5 linked regions of the Macaca fascicularis genome follow. The protein of the gene in region 1 purifies or fractionates together with the protein of each later gene. This does not show direct contact. Links are inferred from orthologs where the notes say so. Each region holds a gene or a part of one and is shown in the gene's direction. Other genes may lie near its edges. The genes, in order: RAB5A, GDI1, GDI2, CHM and RABGGTA.

Region 1 (4,214 bases):
AACTGCAAACTGAAAAGTTGCCTTTATTCTGAAGGAAAATCAATTTAATATTCTTCTACCAAATTACCAAAACAATGTTTCTGGCGGAGGCTGGGGAGGGGTTGGTGGCAGAAGCCTTTCCAGAGACTGACTATGGTATGGGATTCACATCTTCAGTAGGTCCCCCGAGGAGGGTAACGACGTCTCGGGTAGTCTTTCACCAGAATTGTGTTCAACAACTCATGTTCTGGAGCCAACCCGCAGATCAGAATCCAGCTTAGGCACCACACAGCAGTGATCTCGGACAAGTTACTCAATCTCTTGTGTCTCAAATTATTTACCTGTAAAATATCTACAACTAGAACTGAAAACTTGGCTGCCAGGCACTGGGCTGGACACAGATTTACAGCGGTGAGGACAACCAAGGGGAACTAAAATTCGAATGTAGGGAACAAACGATTAACAAGTTAGTTTCAGAATGAAAGACTCCTAGCGTAAGAATTCAATTGGATAATTCCTGTAAAGCATTTAGTACAGTAAAGAGCGAAGAGAGATTCTGAATAAAAGGTAGATGCTATTTTAGGATTTGGCCCTCCCCGCCCCCTACCAAAACCACGTAAACTCTTAATAGAAGCGACTTTTGTCAGGCGCCTAAAGGCGGCTTTTAGGATAGGAAGGGTCCTCTCTTCCTACTTGGGGTAAATGCGTTTTACCAGCCTTTACCGACCCACCCAACCCCAGGGACATTTTTTGGGGGGAGGTTCTCTAGTGCTAGACAAGTTCTCTCTAATAAAGCCCCTTCGACGAGGTGCCAGGATTGGGGTGAGGGAACCTTGCCGCTCCCACAAGGGCTGGGCACAAAAAACAAACAAAAAAATAAGATATTTTGGTCTTCCCCCAAAGCATAGTAAAAGAATTTCCCCCGAACCCGGCCGCCGGGAGCCCAGAGACCCCCCCAGCCCAAATAACAATGGCGCTGGAGAGGGCGTGGCCGCGTGTACCTGGGGTGGGGGAAGGGGAGAAAGGCGGCCAGCTCCGGTCAGAGCCACTCGCAGGGTCACGTGACATCTTGCCTCGCCCCGCCCCGCGAACAGACCTGGGCGGGGAGGGATTCGGAAAGGGGCGGGGAAGCGGATGGAGCGGGGGCACTGGCGATGACGGGAAGTGACGAAGGGGCGTAGTTCGCTGCGTGCGGCGACGTGGCGGCGGGGCCGACACCGGACAGCGGAAGTGGCTCCGGCGGTGGGACTTGAGTGTTTGTGTTTTGGTTCGTGAAGGAGCCGGCGGCTGGCCTTAGGGGAGGAGGCAGAGGGAGGAGGAGGAGGAAGACTTCGTCGGAACTCCAGCGCCGGCGGCGGCGGCGGAGGAGGGGAAAGGAAAGAGGAAGGCGGAGCGGCGAGAGGCGGAGACGGAGCCCGACAGGGGCGGCACCACGGCAAGAGCCCCGCACAGTCCAGTGTGAGGGGAGCGACGCGAAGAGCAGACGGCGCCGCCGCCGCCACCACCACCGCCATAGACACACACTCATCCTACGGGCCACGCCTGGGCCTTGGTGCCAGGAAGCTTCGGCCCCGCAGCCCGGCTTGCTGCGGTCTCAGGTAACCGAACCGCCTCTCCCCCTGCGCAGTGGGGGTCTGGACCCCAGGTTATCCGCGATCCCCAGCCTGTCCGCGGCCCTGCGGGTACTAAGACCCCCGCCCCTTCTCCCTCATGCGCAGCAGTAGCCTGGACCAGAGAACTATCGAACCCGGCGTCTTGTTCTGCCAGCCCTGGTGACTCATCCTCAAGGGGCTCTGGAGACCGGGATTTGGGGACTGACTGAGGGAGCGACGGGTGTCACCCTTTCCCTTCTCAAGATGGCGCCGTGGAAAGTGTACTGGAGGCCGCGGTTCCGCCTGGTCCCTGTGCTGGCAGTCCTGGGGGTCTCGGTCAAAGCCAGCCAGGTTCGGGGGAGGAGGTTGGAAAGGCCAAGGGACCTGGTGAGTGGTGCTTATCCAGGCGATCTGGAGTTGGCTATAAGCTACCCTGGTGCTCTCCAAGCAGGAACCCGGGCCTACTGCAGGTGTGAATGTGGGGAGCTCCGCCTACCTGCAACTTCCAAAGACGTGTAGTGTCGGTGGGTGGGAGACTCGTCAAAATGGGCCGTCTAGAGACTCTTGTCTTATGTATGGAAGGTAGTGAACTACAGCGTTAAATAAATTCGAGATAACAGGACCGCTGAACTCCTTCAATGGGTAGTGACCATGAAACTTGTTCTGATGTTATCTTTCCTGGAAGCTGTTTACCTCTGAGACTTTCAAACTTTTAAATTCTGAACGTCATAGTTCACATACTTGGTTTTTGTCTTGCTTAAGTGGAATCAAAGCGTTCAATCAGTTGCCTTTTACATAATAAGAAAAAACACTTGCACATCTCTGGGAATACTCAAGACTGCTCATAAACTTTATTCCTAAAGTAAAATGGAAATGATAACTCAGCATTTGTGTAAGCAAAGTACATGAAACAGTGCCTGGCACAAAATAAGTGCCCAATTTTTTGATCAAAGAACACTTAGAAGGATTTTAACTATAGAATGAATAACAGTTATTTTCAAAAGATTACAAATGTATATTATGCAAAATTCTTGTTTTGCAAAACAAGTTTCAGTAAGCAGTGAATACAAATGAATACACGTAATTTTTAACCTTCGTGTTATGCTAAGTGTGTATTTACTATTAACTCTAGTTATTTCCTGTTTGAGATCCTCAAGGGGAGTAGCCACAGTTAAGTAACTTTAAACCTTAAAAGTCAAAGTGAAATCAGAATCTTGTTTGATTTTTTTTTTTTATGGGAATCTGATGTTTTGCCTGAAATTTTGAAAGTACCGTAGAAATTTGGAGCATGTTGTCCTTGATAAGTAATTTCGTGTTTTTGTAGATAAAAAGACAAATGGAAAATGTTTTAATTGATACTGCTTGTGTAATATCTGAAGCTGTATTGGTGCATTTTCAGTACATATGATGTTCTCTAGATATTTTCTTATCAAAGGACCACGTTATTGACAATTTCAATCCCTACTATGTTTATTAGAGATTGTTTACATGTATTGTTTCATTTAATTGTCACAGCAGCTATGCAAGTTAGATATTATGGGAATAGAGACTTGGAAATTAAAGAATTTGCCCAGGCGGAAATTGGTATAGCCAGGATTAGACCCCCAAGTCTGGTATGTTTGTGGGGAGGGGGATTTTTATTTATATGTCGTTATTTAGAAGCAACTCAGATATTACCTCAATTAATCTGTACATATTTCAGAATGTAATGGTAAAAGATAAGGACTCTAGAAAGCTGGTGTTTAGTTAAGGCAGGGAGGTAGTTTTATTGCCTTAAGAACTAAGATCTCGTGGACATGTTAGGGAATTCAGTATCAAGAGCATATTATAAACTGATTTTATGGGAAAGGCGTATTTCTTTCTTTTGTTTTTAATATAGAGACAGGGTCTCACTGTTGCCCAGGCTGGTCTCAAGCAGTCCTTCTTCCTCAACCGCCAAGTGTTGGAATTTACCAGTATAAGCCACTGTGTCCAGTGTGAAAGACATATTTCTTACATGAGGTAGCTAAGTGAAATATAGCAGGGTTTTTAGAGAGGGAATCATCAGGTTTAATATATTAGCATATATTCGGATTTTGATTAAAGATAGAAGGAAACTGTTAAGATTGGTTTGTGAGTGGATTGAAAAAGGTTCTTCAAATATTCACTAATTCCTTAGAGATTAAAAATTAGCACAGAAGTTGCCATTCAGGCTAGATTTTTTAATGTGTTGTTTAAATAAAAAATAATGGCCTGCAGGCTGGGTGTGGTGGCTCACACCTGTAATCCCAGCCCTTTGCGAGGCTGAGGCAGGAGGATTGCTTGAGCCCGGGAATTCAAGATCATGCTGGGCAACATAGCAGGACAGTGTCTCTACCAAAAAAGTGGCCTGGCATGGTTCTGAGCGCCTGTAGTCCCAGCTACTCAGGAGGTTGTGGCAGGATTGCTTGAGCCCAGGAGGTGTAGGTTACAGTGAGCTATGACCATGCCACTGCACTCCAGCCTGGGTGAGAGAGCAAAACCCTTTCTCAAAAAAATTCATAATAAAAAAAAAAGTCATGCATTTTTTCTTCTAAAAACTACAAAAAAGTTACAATTAGTGTAAGTAAATAAGTCAGTAATAATCCCACCACATAGAGAACAACTGTTAGCATTTCTGTGTAT
Region 2 (3,955 bases), on another chromosome or scaffold:
AGCTTCCCTCTTCCTACCGCAGCATGAACCCCAAGCTCCCCTCAGCCCATCTTGCTCCCTCTTCAGCCTGCTGAGGAGCTTTCCTGGGCTGCCCCCATCTCTCCCAACAAGGTGTACATATTCTGCGTAGATGCTAGACCAACCAGCTTTCCAGGCTTAGTCGCTGTGAGGCGTAAGGGACATGAATTCTAGGGTCCCCTTTCTCCTTATTTATTCTTGTGTCTACATCATCCCTGGCTGTGGATAGTGTTTTTGTGTAGCAAATGCTCCCTCCTTAAGGTTATAGGGCTCCCTGAGTTTGGGGTGTGGAAGTTCTACTTAACTGTCCTGCTTGGCTGTCGTTATCGTTTTCTGGTGATGTTGTGCTAACAATAAGCAGTACACTGGGGTTTATTTCTGTGGCCTGAGAAGGAAGGCACCTCCACAGGTGGGCTGGGTGCGATCGTCGGCTGTCTGGCATGTTCCCACCGGAAGTGCCTGGCAGGAGCAGGGGGTGCTCGGTTGTTTCCTTCCTAATAAAGTAAACGAGGATCGCCATGCGTTGGGCCTCTTGTCGCTCATTTCTGCGCTGAGCTTTTGGCGCGTGCTCGCCAGAGGTATGCGGGAGGATGGAGCCTGGAGAGGGGGAGGCTAGGAGGCATCCCCGGAGACCGGGAGGGGCTTTAGTAAGCTGGGCCCTAACCGCTTAGGTCAGGGAGGGGTGGTCGGGCCGAGTCCCGGTGCGCTTCGGCGTCTCAGGAGGCCGTAGTGACAATGGCAGCCTTCGCGTCGTGAGGGAGCCGCCCCCGGCTGCCGCAGCGGCGCGCGTCCGGTCGCGGGGCCGCGCCGAGACTCCCGGGGGGCGGGGCGGGCGCGCGCGGGGCGGGGCGGGGCGGGGCGCGCCCGGCTCCCGCGCATGGATCCTTCCCGGGCCGCAGCACCGGCCGCCGGCCCGCCCCGCCCGCCCCGCCCGCCCCGCCCCGAGCCTCTCTGGACTCTCGGCGAGCAACGTCGCCCGCGGAGCCGCGCTGGTGCTGTGGCCCGGGCCCTGGCAGCCCTCCCGGGAGGCGAGCCGGGAAGGCGGTGTCCCCTGCCGGGTGCGGCGGGGCGCGGGAAGAGGCGGGACTCTTTGACGCGGCGGAGGGGTCGGGCGGCGGCCGACGCTCCGCCATCTTTGGTCCAGTGCGGTGGCGGCGGCGGCGGTGGCTACTGCTGTGGTGAAGGAGGAGGAGGAGCCGAGCGGGCGCTGCCACTGAGGCCTGACCATGGACGAGGAATACGATGTAATCGTGCTGGGGACCGGCCTCACCGTAAGTGCGGCCCCGGGCGCCCTTGGCCCTGCGTCGTGCCCTCGCCATTCCCCGCGATGATGCGGCCGCCGGCCCATCCTCCGGTCACTGCCATCTTCTGCGCTCGGCTCCCCGAAAAGCCGGCGCCGTGCCCACCCCGCTGCTCCCCCCGCGATGTCGCCTCTGTTCGTTGCCATGACCCCATCTCCCCGAAGGGGCCCCCTTCCTGGCCGCCCCCTGGCCTACCCGGGTCCGACCCCCGGCGCTCTCCCATCTTCCCTACCCCTGCCCTCTGGACCGGAAAACGCACCCCCACTCGGCCCGTTGCCCCCGACCCCGCCCACCCATCGCCCCCACCCCGCCCACCCATCGCCCCCACCCCGCCCACCCATCGCCCCCACCCATCACGGCATCCACCCGTCGCCCGCACCCATCGCCCGCCTAGCGTTGCCTCCCAGCGTCCCTTCCCATCTTGCGCTAATCCCTGTGAGGATGAAGTACAAGGACCTGGGGTCAGGGGGCCTCGCCAGGGTGGGCTCTCAGCCCACCCCCTCGTCGTCTTCTGGGGCCAGGGGATCCAGGGAATGTTCCAGAAGGAGCAGCAGTGGGGGCAGTAAGCACATTCCCGCAACCCCACCTCGGTTGCCCATGGAGACCTCAGGCTGAGTAGCATCTGCAGCCTTTGTCCTTGGGCTAGTGACAGTGACTGGTGAGGGTGTTTATCTTCCCCCTTTCCCCGAAAATCCCGTTGGCCCACTCCCCTCAGAGACTCTTCTCCCTCGGTCCAGACCCAGATGCCCCTCCTCAGCGGCAGGGGCTCCTGCTCTTTGAAGAAAGAGCAGTCCAGGGTGGGGCCTACAATTTCAAGGACTGTGCTAAGCCTTTCTTTGCTTCCCTTTGGAGTGTCTTTCGCAGTCCAGCTGGGTCCCCTCTGTGCCACATTGTGTTTTATCCGCCTTTTTGTGCGGCTCTGCGTAGGTAGATGCCTCTCGGCGTGTTGGTACTGGAAGGCCATCCTGTGTCTGCTGGATGCCCTGCCTACCTCAAAGCCTCCGTTATTTCACTGTCTGCCTTGTGAGGGGGACGGTCTCCTTTACCCCGCAAGGTTGCAATGGAGAGTGTGGTCGGATGAAACCATCACCCCAATTTTAGGCGAGGCAACTAGCCGGTGGGGGTGGTGGATGGAAGGAGCTGTCCACTGAGGCAGGTTTGGGTGGGGAACAAATCAGGGCTGCTGGTAGGAGCAGAGGAAGGTGGGAGTGCAGCGGATTGTGTGGCCCTCCCCCAGGAATGCATCTTGTCGGGCATCATGTCTGTGAACGGGAAGAAGGTGCTGCACATGGACCGGAACCCCTACTACGGGGGCGAGAGCTCCTCCATCACACCCCTGGAGGAGGTGAGGCTGCCTGGGCCCAGGCCCATCCCTGTTAACCTCCCACACAGCGGCACAGGGTGGAAGTAGCTCTCCAGGTGCCTGGAGCAGGAGGAGGTGGTCCCTGAGGTGTCTCTCTCTCCCTTCTGCTTACAGCTGTATAAGCGTTTTCAGTTGCTGGAGGGGCCCCCTGAGTCCATGGGCCGAGGCCGAGACTGGAACGTTGACCTGATTCCCAAATTCCTCATGGCTAACGGTGAGGGACAGGAAGGAGGTATTGCAGGTCGGGGGTGATAGGGAAGACCTAAGGACAGTCAGGCTCCAAAGGAGGCACAGCCAGACCAGCTAGAACCTCTGGAGAGAGCCGTGCTGATGTTGCCCTTGTGCACCCCCACAGGGCAGCTGGTAAAGATGCTACTGTATACAGAAGTGACTCGCTACCTGGACTTCAAGGTGGTGGAGGGCAGCTTTGTCTACAAGGGGGGCAAGATCTACAAAGTGCCGTCCACTGAGACTGAGGCCTTGGCTTCCAGTGAGTGTGGGCCCCCTGAGCCAGAGAAATCATGGGGTGGCAGGGAAGCCAACTGTCTTTGGGATGGGTGGCTGTCCAGAGTAAGGCACCCCTTTGTCCAAAGTCACATTCCCCCATGAAGGACCAGAGGCCCTTCACTCTGTATTCCCTCTGCCCCATGTCATGCCGCATGGCTGGCTGCCAAGAGGGAGGTCCCCACGCAGCAGGGATGTGACGTGGAGGGGAACGGGACTCCTTTTGAAAGACTTGAGCGTGGCCAGGCACGGTGGCTCATGCCTGTAATCCCAGCACTTTGAGAGGCCTAGGCGGGTGGATCACGAGGTTAGGAGTTCAAGACCAGCCTGGCCAACATGGTGAAACCCCGTCTTGTCTCAAAATACAAAAAATTAGCTGAGTGTGGTGGCACACACCTGTAATCCCAGCTACTCGGGAGGCTGAGGCAAGAGAATGGTTTGAACCCGGGAGGTGGAGGTTGTGGTGAGCCGAGATCATACCACTGCACTCCAGCCTGGGCGATAGAGCAAGACTCCATCTCAAAAAACAACAACAACAAAGAAAACTTGAGCCTTTGGCAGGGGCTCCACTGGATCCTCAAGACATCCCCAAGTGTCCAAGCCAGGAAAGCCCTTAGAGTCCATCCAGGCCAATCCCCTCTTCATCCTGGTGGGGAAACTGAGGCTAAAAAGGGTGGAGAGGTTAACCTAAGGTCACAGGACAGCTGGGCTGGGAGTGGGGGTGCCTGCCCTGCTGAGATGGAGAGTTTTGTGCTGCGTTGGTGCAGAA
Region 3 (4,029 bases), on another chromosome or scaffold:
ACTAATTTATTTGGTGACAAATATACACAATCAAATTAAGGTTGAATATAAATTTAAACTTTACTTTTGCTTTCTTCTCCCCTCCCCTTGCAAAAGGTCCATGGTCCAATATAACACATCTTCTCCAAGTATTTACGGGTTAAGAAACATTTTTAAAAGTTGTTACATTCTCTCCTCAATCTTGATGATTTAAATATGAGCAAGTTCGGTCTATCAAGGCAGGCTCATGATAGCTATTACCGAGAAGTATTTGAGTAGTTCTTGAATGCCAAATCTTCATTGTCTGCTGACTATGCAGATTTATCACGTGCTGAAAACACAGGTTTTCCAACTGTCATCGCCTTTAGGAAATTCACCTGCCTAGGCTTTCGTGGGATTTGCCTCTTGGAGCTGAGAACACAGCTTCTGCTTACACCCGTGTCCTCAATGAAGTTAGAGATTCCTAAGAGAATTCTAGAAAAAGAGGAGGGGGTTAGAAGGCAAGCAAGGTAGTTTCTAAGCTTAGGGCCTAAACCTTTGCATCCAAGGATCAGCTACCACGTTTACAGTGGCTTTAAGTTATAGCCCTGGGTAAGTGCGGATCGGCTTCCCAATGAAACCTGGCCTTCACTTTCATCTCCGTTAAGGGTTCCTTTTAGCAAAAGAAGCCGCTTTTCCTCCTACCACTTTCCTAAAGCGCCCACCGGCAACGCACCAAACAGGGAAGGCACAGAGCGGGAAACAGGACACGTGTGATTTCCGAACTCTTCCCGGCGGGCTCCGGGCCCCGGCGAGCCCAGCCCCGCGGGAGGAACCAAGGCCGCTACCCGCGAGAGGCGGCCGGACCCACGTTCCTCGCCCACGTGGCCGCCGCACGCACCCGCTCAAAGTCCAAGGACGGCGGTCCGGCTCTGGGACCTTGGACCGAGCGAGCTCCCGCCCCGACGGCGGGAGTCAGAACCGTGGTGGCCGGCAGTACTCCCCTCCCGCGGTCCCGTGCGCCTCCACCCCGGTCCACGCGCCGCCTCCCAGACCCCGGTGGCAGAAACCGCAAAGGGAACCGGAAGCCAAAATGGCGACGCCCCGCCCTTTTCCTCTCGCGAGAGGCGGGGAAGAAAAAAAGTTGGGCGAGTGACGGGGACAAAACCAATTAGAGTGCCGGAAGCGCCTGATTGGCGGCCCTCCCGGCGCCTGCAGGCCCCGCCCCGGCTGCGGAGGCTCAGTCACCGCCCTCCCCTCCCTGCCCCCTCCCCTTTTCTCCCCGCCCGGTTCTTCGCTTCCCGTCTGAGGTGGCGGCAGGTCTCGCCTTGTCGCCAGCTCCATTTTCCTCTCCTCTCTTCCCGTTTCCTTCGCGCCCGAGAGCGCCTGCCAGCCTCGTAGGGTGGTCACCGAGCCCCTGCGCCTTTTCCTTTCTCTGGTTCTGCGTCCGCGCCTGCCCCGCCATGAATGAGGAGTACGACGTGATCGTGCTGGGCACTGGCCTGACGGTGGGCGCCGGGGCTGAGGGGCCGGGGTTGAGCAGCCGGGGCGGGCGCATCCCCGGCTCCTGCACGGCCCGCGGGTCGCAGCTCCTGGGGGCTTTCGTTCTGCAGTCACCCGTGGTTTTCGGGACGGGAGTCGTGGCTGGGGGCACGGGCGGGTTTGGGGGCGCCCCGCGTCCCGGGACGATCGGGCGACTCCCAGTGTGAGGGGCAGGCGGGGAAATGGAGATGCGGGCCGCGAGGCTCCGGGCGGGGTAACGGCGGAGCCCGGTCGCTGCGCTTCCCCCTTGCGGAAGCGGAGTGGAGGGAGAAGGCGGCCCGGGCCGAGGCTCCCGCTCCCCACTTTGGGCCAGTGACCTCTCCGGGTTGGAAACTAGCACCCGAGGCGGAGGGGACGGTGCAGGCCTCGCGGTTGCATTTCCTATTCCGCCTCGGCCGCTTCCCCGGGTCTGTCTGGCTGCCAAAGCCGAGCACGGGGTTTCCTGACAAGTCTTGGATAATCACTGCTTCGGAACTGCTAGGGCTTGATTAACTTATATTTTTGGAGAAAAGGCAGAAATTAGGCTTTTAATCCTTTCTCCCCCCTGCTAATAAGAAGTATTATTGAATCTTTTTAGCCACCCTCCCTTCCCACTTACCGAGCATCTGTAGAATTGGAATTGAGTTTTTTCAAAACTTGTCTATCAAATGCTTTCGCACCTGACCTTCGCCGCCTTTTCCTTTTGTTTGGTGGGTTCCCTGCCTCCTTTGTCTCTTCTGGACTCTTTTCCCCTAAGAATTGGATTGGTGATGGATTGCTAAAGGCCAAGTTCTCTGTACTCCGCAGCTTTCTTCAGGGAGTTGGAAGATAAATCAGTAACAACATGAAGAATGCATTGTAGTATATATATGAATGCAAGGTGTACCTAATACCATGGTATATTGATTTTCCTGGTTATGTGTCTGCTTAGAGAGCTTTAGGTTAACTGTAGATAATGCAGGCAGGTTCTGTAGTTTGTACTTTTTCTGTTTTTTTTTTTTTTTATGAAGACTTCATCTTGCAAAAGAATTTGGAGAAAACCATTTTAACTATCGATTTTTGGGAACTTTGAAATTCTAACTTTGGGCTGCTTGATCATAATTAAGATGAATACTGATGTAAATCTTGTGTATCCTATGTACTCTGACTTTAAATTCCTGTGTCATTTAATGTAGACTTCCACTTCAAATTTTTTGAAATTTATTATAATCTGTCAGGTTCAAACTAATGTTTTTTTTTTTTTTTTTTTTTTAACAGGTAACATCCCAAAATAACACTTTCAAATGTCTCTAGTCAAGAAAAAACCTTTGAACTTTTATTTGGCTAATTTTTTAAGAAAGGTTTGTTAAGACTTAGAATGGTGTTTTTCTGGCCTGTCATTTTTCTGTTTATAGTTATATGCAATTATTAGAGAATATTCATTCAGAATACTTTGTTATGTTTGACAAATTGAGGAATAATCCTGTCAATGTCTTTGAAAAGCTGGAAGACTGTTGGATGCCTAAATGAATAGGCCCTACCCACTGCAGGTTTTGTGCTTTTTTTTTTAAGTGCCTAATTGGGATTCCAAACTGCGCTTAGTAGTTTGTGGTGGATTTTGCCCGTTGGAATGGGTAGTGCTGCTGCCAGCGTGTTGTTAGAGCCGGTTAGTTCCACCGTTTTTCTATGGTTGTTGCTGGTCTTTCAGATTTGCTCACAATCGAGGTCAGTTGAGCATGGACGAGTGAGTGCAAATCCACCATCATGCAGGCTTCCACAAGCCCCATTCACATCACTTTGTATCAAAGATGGTGAAACAGTCTTTTTATATAACAAGTTAAGATAATGCACTTCGTTTAAATTTTCATTTGGATTGTGAACTTTTTGATAAATGGTAGATGCATACTTAACTAGAAATCAGACCAATTTCTGCTGTCATTTTGTAGCTGTGATAACTTTAATCTCTGTTAGCCTGCCTAAGTTTTCTGAGATGTTCTTTGATAATTATATCAATTCAGAAGAATCACATTATTACCATCCTTGATAGGAGTAGTGATGACAGGATGATTTTGATAATGAGAAATCTTATATCCTTATTTTTAGTGTTACCAGGAATTAGATGACTAAAAATTAGAAGAAGAGAAAACCAAAGTTAGCACTCAGAATTAACTTTTGAGTGTCTGAAGTTAAATTAATTTTCTTGAAATTTACTTTATATTTAGTGCCTGAGATTTAAGAACCTAAAAAAGGCAAGTGCTTTCAGTGCTAGGAACTTGTTACTTTTAAAGAAGTGTAAGGAAGTGCTGGAGTTGCTGTGTTGCTTAGTGCTGCCATTGTTTGTATGAGTTGTTAAGTCCAAGCTCGTAATCACAAATATTGATAGTCATTTTAATCAAGAAGATACAAAATGATTTGGCATAAAGGAGTAAAATCTTCATTCTGTGTGTAAAAGAAATGGAATATTCCACACAATTTAATTTTCTGAGGAATTAAGGGTTATCTCTAAAGAGCACAGCTTTTGGATAATGCCTTTCTAAATGCTGTCACAACTTCTCTAACAAACTAAGAAAC
Region 4 (3,510 bases), on another chromosome or scaffold:
ATTGGCATTATCCTGCAGGTTTCATAACAATAAAGTGAGATTATTGCCAAATATGGTAACCCATTGAGTTATTTAATATTTTCCATTTTTTTAAATGCATGAAATGCTCAATCATATAAAGCTTAAAAATTGTGCCATTACTCCAAATTGGAGAGCGAGATTGTTTCCACTTTTTTCTAAGATCAACCATCAGTGTCCAAAATGTAATACCACCTACGTCCTTTTTGAGGTCTTTTGAAACACACTTCATCTCCTTTTTGTGGGGTGCTTTTAAATAGAAGTTTGGTTCTGATTTTAAGTGATAAAATTTCATCTTTTCATAGGATATGAAGATATTACATTTTATGAATATTTAAAAACTCAAAAATTAACCCCCAACCTCCAATATATTGTCCTGCATTCAATTGCAATGACATCAGAGACAGCCAGCAGTACCATAGATGGTCTCAAAGCTACCAGAAACTTTCTTCACTGTCTTGGGCGATATGGCAACACTCCATTTTTGTTTCCTTTGTATGGCCAAGGAGAACTCCCCCAGTGTTTCTGCAGGTAAGTTTGCCATTGGTTTTCTTGTCCCTTCTAAAGGTGATACTTAAATAACAGGTGAGAATTAGGAACGCAAAAATGAGATTTATTCAAGATTTAGTACATGCAAATATATACTTTATTTTTTTTTTTATAATTGATATACCTGGCTATCTACCCACCTAAGTGATATATTCAGTGTGGCCTGTTTTTGAGCTTTATAAAAATACTATAAGTTCCTTTTTCCACTCAATAGCGTGATGGAAAGTATTGTCATTGCATATAATTTTAGTTAATTTTTATTGCTACATAATATTTTATTGTGAATATACCACAGTCTACTTTTTCATTTTTCTGTTGATGTAACACAGGATGTTTCCAGTTTTTCTGCAGTTAACACCCTTGTGAATATTTCAAGTTATATATATTCAATAATTTCTCTTGGAAACATATCTAGGAGTGGAATTTCCAAGTCATGAGATACACGAATGTCAACGCTTTACAACATCGTGTTCAGTTATTTCTCTAGAGGGCTGTACCAATTATAACCTTTTAGCAGTACATAAGAATACCCAAAGCTTTTCATGTTTGCCAGTATTTAAAATTTTTTTGTCAATCTAACTCATATAAATTATCATTGCATTGGATTTTTATTTTTCATTTCCCTAATTAGCTGTGAAGTTGCGCCTCTTCTCATGTGTTTACTGGCCATTCATGTTTTATCTTCAGGAAATACTTGTTGTGTCTTTTTTTGTTTGTTTTACACATTTTTAAAAAAAATTTTATTTTTTGTGGGCACATAGGAGGCATATAAGTTTGTGGGGTACTTTAATATAGGCATGCAAAGTGTAATCCATCATGGTAAATGGAGTATCCATCCCCTCAAGCATTTATCCTTTGTGTTGAAAACAATCCAATTATACTCTTTATTTTAACATGTACAATTAAATCATTATTGACTGTAGTCACTCTGTTGTGATATCAAATACTAGATTTTATTCATTCTTTCTAACTACGTTTTGTACCTATTGACCATTCCCACTTAACCGCTGCCCCCTCAAAACCCTCCGCAGGCTCTGATAACCATCCTTCTACTCTCTGTCTCCGTATGTTTAATTGTTTTAATTTTTAGCTCCCACAAATAAGTGAGGCTATGCATTGTTTGTCTTTCTGTGGCTGGCTTATTTCACTTAATGTAATGACCTTCAGTTTCATCTACATTGTTGCAAATGTCAGGATCTCATTCTTTTTTTTTTTGAGATGGAGTCTTGCTCTGTCACCCAGGATGGCGTGCAGTGGTGCGATCTCGGCTCACTGCAACCTCTGCCACCCGAGTTCAAGTGATTCTCCTGCCTCAGCCTCCTGAGTAGCTGGGATTACAGGTGTGCCACCACGCCTGGCTAATTTTTGTATTTTTAGTAGAGATGGGGTTTCAGCATCTTGGCCAGCCTGGTCGTGAACTCCTGACTTCGTGATCCACCCGTCTCCCAAAGCGGTGGTATTACAGGCGTGAGCCACCGCGCCCAGCCAGGATCTCATTCTTTTTATGGCTGAATATTACTCCATGGTGTAACTGCACTACATTTTCTTTATCCATTTATCTGTTGCTGGGCACTTAGGTTGCTTCCAAATCTTGGTTATTGTGAACAATGCTGCAATAAATGTGGTGTGCAGATATCCCTTTGATACACTGATTTCCTTTCTTTTGGGTATATACCTAGCAGTGGGATTGCTGGATCGTATGGTAGCTCTAGTTTTGCTTTTCTGAGGAACTTCCAAACTGTTCTCCACAGTGGTTGTAGTAATTTACACTCCCACCCGCAGTGTTCAAGGGTTCCCTTTTCTCCATATCTTTGCCAGTATTTGCTAGTGCCTTTCTTTTGAATAAAAGTTATTTTAACTGGGGCAATAAAATATCTCATTGTAGTTTTGATGTGCATTTCTGTGATGATCAGTGATGTTGAGCATCTTTTTATATGTCTCCTTGCCATTTGTATGTCTTCTTTTGAAAAATGTTTCAGATCTTTTGCCCATTTTTTAGTCATACTATATTTTTTTACCGTAGAATTGTTTGAGCTACTTATATATTCTGGTCATTAATTCCTTGTCAGATGGGTAGTTTGCAAATATTCTCTTTCATTATATGGGTTGTCTTTTCACTTTGTTGATGGTTTCTTTTGCTGTGCAGAAACTTTTTAACTTCATGTGTTCCCATTTGTCAATTTTTGCTTTAGTTGCCTGTGCTTGTGGGGCATTGTTCAAGAAATCTTTGCCCAGACCAGTGTCTTAGAGGTTTTCTCGAATGTTTTCTTGTAGTAATTTTATAGTTTGCAGCATTAGATTTAATTCTTTAATCCATTTTGATTTGCTTTTTATATACAGCAAAAGATAGGGGTCTAGTTTCATTTTTCTTCATATGGATATCCAGTTATCCCAACACCCTTCATGGAAAAGACTGTCTTTTACTCAGTGTATATTCTTGACACCTTTGTCAAAAATGAGTTCACTGTAGGTGTGTGGATTTGTTTCTGAGTTGTCTATTCTGCTTTTTGGTTTATGTGTCTGTTTTTATGCCAGTATCATGCTGTTTTGGTGACTATAGCTCTGTAGTATAATTTGAAGTAAGGTAATGTGATTCGTCCAGTTATGTTCTTTTTGCTCAGGATAGCTTTGGCTATTCTGGGTATTTTGTGGCTCCATATACATTTTAGGGTGTTTTCATTTCTCTGAAGAACGCCATTGGTATTTTTATACAGATTTCATTAAATCTCTAGATTGCTTAGCATAGTATGGACATTTTAACAATATCGATTCTTCCAGTCCATGAACATGGAATAGTTTTCCATTTCTTTGTGTCCTCTTCAATATCTTTCATCAGTGTTTTCTAGATTTCATTGTAGGGATTGTACACTTCTTTAATTAAGTTAATTCCTAGGTATTTAATTGCACTTGTGGTTATTCTAATTGAGATTACTTTTTAAAGTT
Region 5 (4,232 bases), on another chromosome or scaffold:
GTACATATGTAGGTCTATCAAATCAGACGGGCATTTTAGAGAACTTCCTCGAGGTGCCAATTGAGTTAAATTTTTTTTCTTTGTTCTGTGGAGTTCAAAAAGTTAAATCTTAAACAGGATTTACTGCAGCAAAGGAGGAGTGTAGAGAAAGGAGAGTCAAGGAGAGGGAACAGGCTAACACATTTAGGAAACTTCAAGTATTTCTGTAGGCTGTCATGAAGGGTTTTTGGCAGGGTCAGGCAGGACATACAGCCAGAGAGTAGGCAGAGCCCAAATGCCAGTAGGTCTGATGTGCTAAGCTGAGAGATTACAATTCTATCCTGAAAAAGAGCCACTCAGCACTTTCAGGCAGAGATAGGACATCAAATCTGCATTTTAGAAAAATTGATTCAGCAGCACAGAGGATGGACTGATAACAAGGGATGAGGTGGAGAACATTGAAAAGACTTTCAACAATCTGGATAAGAAATTCGGAGTTTGAACTTCTAGTGGCAGTGGGAATAGAGTATTTAAGCGAGTTTAAGAAGTGAGGAGGAAATAGTGCCACTCACTACAATAGAAAACGTAAAGGCCAATGTTTAGAGAGGATGGATGAGAGAAAATTTATACCTTTTGGCTTTTGGAGTTTGAGGTGTCTCTGGGACACCAGGTGATATCCAATAGGTGTTTGAATATGTATGTGATGTATATTATTTATTGTTATTTAAGCTTGCAAGACATCTGGGTTGGAGATATAAATTTGGGTGTCATCAATTTACAGGTAGTAATTAAAACAATGAGTGTGAATGAACTCACCCAGGGAAAGTGTAATGCCAGATTTGTGGGCCAAAACAGCTCTGAGGAGCTCCAACTCGAAGCAGTTGAACGCTTAAACATTCTCCCAGGAACAGTGTGTGAAGTGAAAAAGCAGTGAGGAAAGGACCCTTTGGAGATCACCAACATTTAGGGGTGGAGGTGAACAGATGAGAAGAGAGAGGCAGAGATGCAGGAGGAGAAGCCAGGATGGGGGTGTCAAGTATAAAGAAGTGGGTCAAATGCTTCAGAGGTTAGAGAAAATGACAGGCAACTCCACCTGTTAGATTTGACATATAGAAGGGTGTCGGTGTGGCCAGGGTGAGGTCAGTGGAGTAGTGAAGGTGCGGGTTTCTGGCTGTTGGAGAAACCTCTTCCACTAACTACACTACATTTTGAGTTGCCAACTGGCATGGTCCTCCCCACTATTTCACACGCACGGTACAGTCGCGCGTGCGCACTCGTACACACTAGGTGGCTAACAGGTACGAGGCGTTTCCAGACAGCGAGCGCATAGCCCCCGCGCACGCGCCTCCGAGCCGGCCTCCTCCGTCGCAAGTCCCTCCCCAAGCCTGCAGAGGGCGCTGCGTTTCGGTGAGCCAGGACGTGGCGCCGCTCTAGCCAGCGCCTGGGCTCTGTGGCGGGCGCCGCAGCTCCGCATCCCCCGCGCCTCCTCCCAGCGCAGGTGGGTCCGCCCGCGGGGGGCGGGGGTGCCCGGGAGCCGTGGGACGGGCGGGGAGCGGCAACCTTTGGTGCGCAGAGTGGTCCCTAACGCCCAGGTGCCCCGGCTCGGGCTCTGGCCCGGGCGAATCGGGCTGTAGGAAGGGCCATACGGATGGAAGTTCTAGTACGGGTGTTCGCCTCTTGCTGAATGTGCAAAGCCTGTCCCAGGACCTCTTTACACCCTAGGGGTCTCTGCCCAGGCACGCTTGCTGCTTCCGGGAAACCGCTGTGGGCGGTGCTAGTAGGGGGCGGGGCTACGTGATTGACACCTCTCTCCTCAGACTTCGAGGGCTACCACTGGACCCTTCCCCTGTCTTGAACCCTGAGCCGGCACCATGGTGAGAACCCTGAGCCCAGCCCTTCATCTCCGCACGCCCGCGCCCTCACCCGCAGTGGTCGTGCACTTGGTTGCCCCGTATGAACCTAGGGCTTCACAGTGTGGGGCTTTTGCAGGTCGGCTCCTGCAAGGCAACCTGCACTCTTCCAACCCGTTCATCCTTATAGCACGGACGCCTGAAGGTGAAGACGTCAGAAGAGCAGGCGGAGGCCAAAAGGCTAGAACGAGAGCAGAAGCTGAAGCTATACCAGTCAGCCACCCAGGCCGTCTTCCAGAAGGTGGGGCCCTCAGAGGTAGCCCCGACCCCAAGTAGCTCTCTTAGTATAGTATGGAGGCCAAGAGCTGGTCCCTAAAGTCAGACTGCCTAGATCCAGTTCTGGGTTCTCTCACTTATAACTGTATGACTTTGGACAAGTTGCTGGATCTCTTTGGGCCTCAGTTTGCACATCTGTAAAATGGGACTAATAATTGCACCTACTGCATAAGGCCGTTGTGAAGATTAAATGAGAGAATACCTGTAAGGCCATAAAGCATGGTTCATAGTATCTGTTGTATAATGTGGGATTCACAGAATATTGGGTGGTTTTGAGTTTACGTTATTTAGTCCTGTGGTGGGAAAGTGATATGATCTCTGACCCTGCCACCTATCTTCTCAGCGCCAGGCTGGTGAGCTGGATGAGTCAGTGCTGGAACTGACAAGTCAGATTCTGGGAGCCAACCCTGATTTTGCCACCCTCTGGAACTGCCGACGAGAGGTGCTGCAGCAGCTGGAGACTCAGAAGTGCGTAGGGATTCAGGATCTCAGAAGACTGCCCTGGCCCTGCGCCTACACTGCGTGGGTCCAGGGGTGGAGGAGGAATGGGGCAGCCAGTGGCATAGATGGAGGACAGTAGGGGGCTGGGTGCAGAAAGTGAGGGATGAGCTGAGGTTGAGTGTAGGAGAGCCCTGACCCCCCTTCCCTTCGGGGTACAGGTCTCCTGAAGAGTTGGCTGCTCTGGTGAAGGCAGAACTGGGCTTCCTGGAGAGCTGCTTGCGGGTGAACCCCAAGTCTTATGGCACCTGGCACCACCGATGCTGGCTGCTAGGCCGCCTGCCTGAACCCAACTGGGCCCGAGAGCTGGAGCTCTGTGCCCGCTTCCTGGAGGTGGATGAGCGGAACTGTACGTGCCTGCAGATTCTGTCCCCACAGCCCTCACCTGCCCACATTCTGGTACTGGGGCCTCAGTAAGGCCCAGAATGGGGAGGGATATCCAGGATGGGTCCACTGAGCTGGTGCTGAAAGGGATGTTGGAGTCAAATGCCTCCTCCGTGGAGTGCACTGAAGTGTTTCTAGGAGTTCTCTGAGGGGACTCTAGGGGTCCCAGCCAGGTAGCTCCTCTTGCCTTGCCTCTAAGATATGCTGTCACCTCTCCCCTCCAGTTCACTGCTGGGACTATCGGCGGTTTGTGGCCACACAGGCAGCCGTGCCCCCTGCAGAAGAGCTAGCCTTCACTGACAGCCTCATCACCCGAAACTTCTCCAACTACTCGTCCTGGCATTACCGCTCCTGTCTCTTGCCCCAGCTGCACCCCCAGCCGGATTCTGGACCACAGGGGCGCCTCCCTGAGGATGTGCTGCTCAAAGGTAAGCAGGGTGAGGGGTCCTCCTTCCTACAGAAGGGAGGACTCTGCAGTGCCACCCTTCCAGTCCCCATGCCTGACCCTGTTCCTGAACCTGTCTCAGGTTTATTGAGCACCTACTTCATGCCTGGCTCCAGGGGTGCCTAAGAATCAGTCCCTGACTGCAGGGAGCTCAAGTGTCTGATGGGGAAGATAAAACTGACATACATAGCCCCTGTGCAAGGACAGCATATAAGTGACACTGGGGGCTGGAAGTACTCCAAGGAGAGGGTAGGGTGTTGGAGTGGCCAGGAGCCCACCAGTGTCCTGACCACAGCACCATGCCTCCCGGAAACCTACAGAGCTGGAGTTGGTGCAGAATGCCTTCTTCACTGACCCCAATGACCAGAGTGCCTGGTTTTATCACCGTTGGCTCCTAGGCCGAGGTAAGCATTGAGGAAAGGGGCTGGGTGTTTAGGGCTTAGTAGGAATGGGAGAGGGTTTAAGGAAATCTGACACTGTGTCTCCCTGCAGCTGACCCCCAGGATGCACTGCGCTGCCTGCATGTGAGCCGGGACGAGGCCTGTCTGACCATCTCCTTCTCTCGGCCCCTCCTAGTAAGTCCTACAGCTTTTGTCAAGAGCACTGTGGGATTGTGGGCCTGGTGCTGATGGGGCTGAAGTCTGTCTTTGTGCTTTGTGCCAGGTGGGCTCCAGGACGGAGATCTTGCTGCTCATGGTTGATGATTCTCCCCTGATTGTAGAGTGGAGGACCCCAGATGG

What was found.
Region 2: the proteins of RAB5A (region 1) and GDI1 purify together in Homo sapiens (affinity purification with mass spectrometry; 3 studies listed by BioGRID and IntAct, counting the BioPlex papers as one, with this or other methods). This does not show direct contact. The link is inferred for Macaca fascicularis from reciprocal best matches to the Homo sapiens genes RAB5A and GDI1.
Region 3: the proteins of RAB5A (region 1) and GDI2 purify together in Homo sapiens (affinity purification with mass spectrometry; 3 studies listed by BioGRID and IntAct, counting the BioPlex papers as one, with this or other methods). This does not show direct contact. The link is inferred for Macaca fascicularis from reciprocal best matches to the Homo sapiens genes RAB5A and GDI2.
Region 4: the proteins of RAB5A (region 1) and CHM purify together in Homo sapiens (affinity purification with mass spectrometry; 3 studies listed by BioGRID and IntAct, counting the BioPlex papers as one, with this or other methods). This does not show direct contact. The link is inferred for Macaca fascicularis from reciprocal best matches to the Homo sapiens genes RAB5A and CHM.
Region 5: the proteins of RAB5A (region 1) and RABGGTA purify together in Homo sapiens (affinity purification with mass spectrometry; 3 studies listed by BioGRID and IntAct, counting the BioPlex papers as one, with this or other methods). This does not show direct contact. The link is inferred for Macaca fascicularis from reciprocal best matches to the Homo sapiens genes RAB5A and RABGGTA.

What each region holds. Positions count from the first base shown.
Region 1 is NC_088376.1:28,478,191-28,482,404, reverse strand, and holds the start of RAB5A (ras-related protein Rab-5A), read left to right. Parts: upstream 1-1,493; 5' UTR 1,494-1,958; exon of another isoform or gene 1,959-2,051; intron 2,052-4,214. Other genes in the region: uncharacterized protein, read right to left, coding at 153-320, 981-1,493. UniProt on the Homo sapiens protein: The small GTPases Rab are key regulators of intracellular membrane trafficking, from the formation of transport vesicles to their fusion with membranes.
Region 2 is NC_088395.1:160,436,951-160,440,905, forward strand, and holds the start of GDI1 (rab GDP dissociation inhibitor alpha), read left to right. Parts: upstream 1-1,149; 5' UTR 1,150-1,244; coding exon 1,245-1,289; intron 1,290-2,556; coding exon 2,557-2,664; intron 2,665-2,796; coding exon 2,797-2,896; intron 2,897-3,037; coding exon 3,038-3,172; intron 3,173-3,955. UniProt on the Homo sapiens protein: Regulates the GDP/GTP exchange reaction of most Rab proteins by inhibiting the dissociation of GDP from them, and the subsequent binding of GTP to them. Promotes the dissociation of GDP-bound Rab proteins from the membrane and inhibits their activation.
Region 3 is NC_088383.1:6,738,716-6,742,744, reverse strand, and holds the start of GDI2 (rab GDP dissociation inhibitor beta), read left to right. Parts: upstream 1-1,228; 5' UTR 1,229-1,421; coding exon 1,422-1,466; intron 1,467-4,029. UniProt on the Homo sapiens protein: GDP-dissociation inhibitor preventing the GDP to GTP exchange of most Rab proteins. By keeping these small GTPases in their inactive GDP-bound form regulates intracellular membrane trafficking.
Region 4 is NC_088395.1:92,559,642-92,563,151, reverse strand, and holds part of CHM (rab proteins geranylgeranyltransferase component A 1), read left to right. Parts: intron 1-323; coding exon 324-549; intron 550-3,510. UniProt on the Homo sapiens protein: Substrate-binding subunit of the Rab geranylgeranyltransferase (GGTase) complex.
Region 5 is NC_088381.1:92,086,096-92,090,327, reverse strand, and holds the start of RABGGTA (geranylgeranyl transferase type-2 subunit alpha), read left to right. Parts: upstream 1-1,422; 5' UTR 1,423-1,477; exon of another isoform or gene 1,478-1,715; 5' UTR 1,716-1,850; coding exon 1,851-1,853; intron 1,854-1,968; exon of another isoform or gene 1,969-2,019; coding exon 2,020-2,130; intron 2,131-2,508; coding exon 2,509-2,687; intron 2,688-2,824; coding exon 2,825-3,012; intron 3,013-3,271; coding exon 3,272-3,475; intron 3,476-3,812; coding exon 3,813-3,896; intron 3,897-3,984; coding exon 3,985-4,067; intron 4,068-4,155; coding exon 4,156-4,232. UniProt on the Homo sapiens protein: Catalyzes the transfer of a geranylgeranyl moiety from geranylgeranyl diphosphate to both cysteines of Rab proteins with the C-terminal sequence -XXCC, -XCXC and -CCXX, such as RAB1A, RAB3A, RAB5A and RAB7A.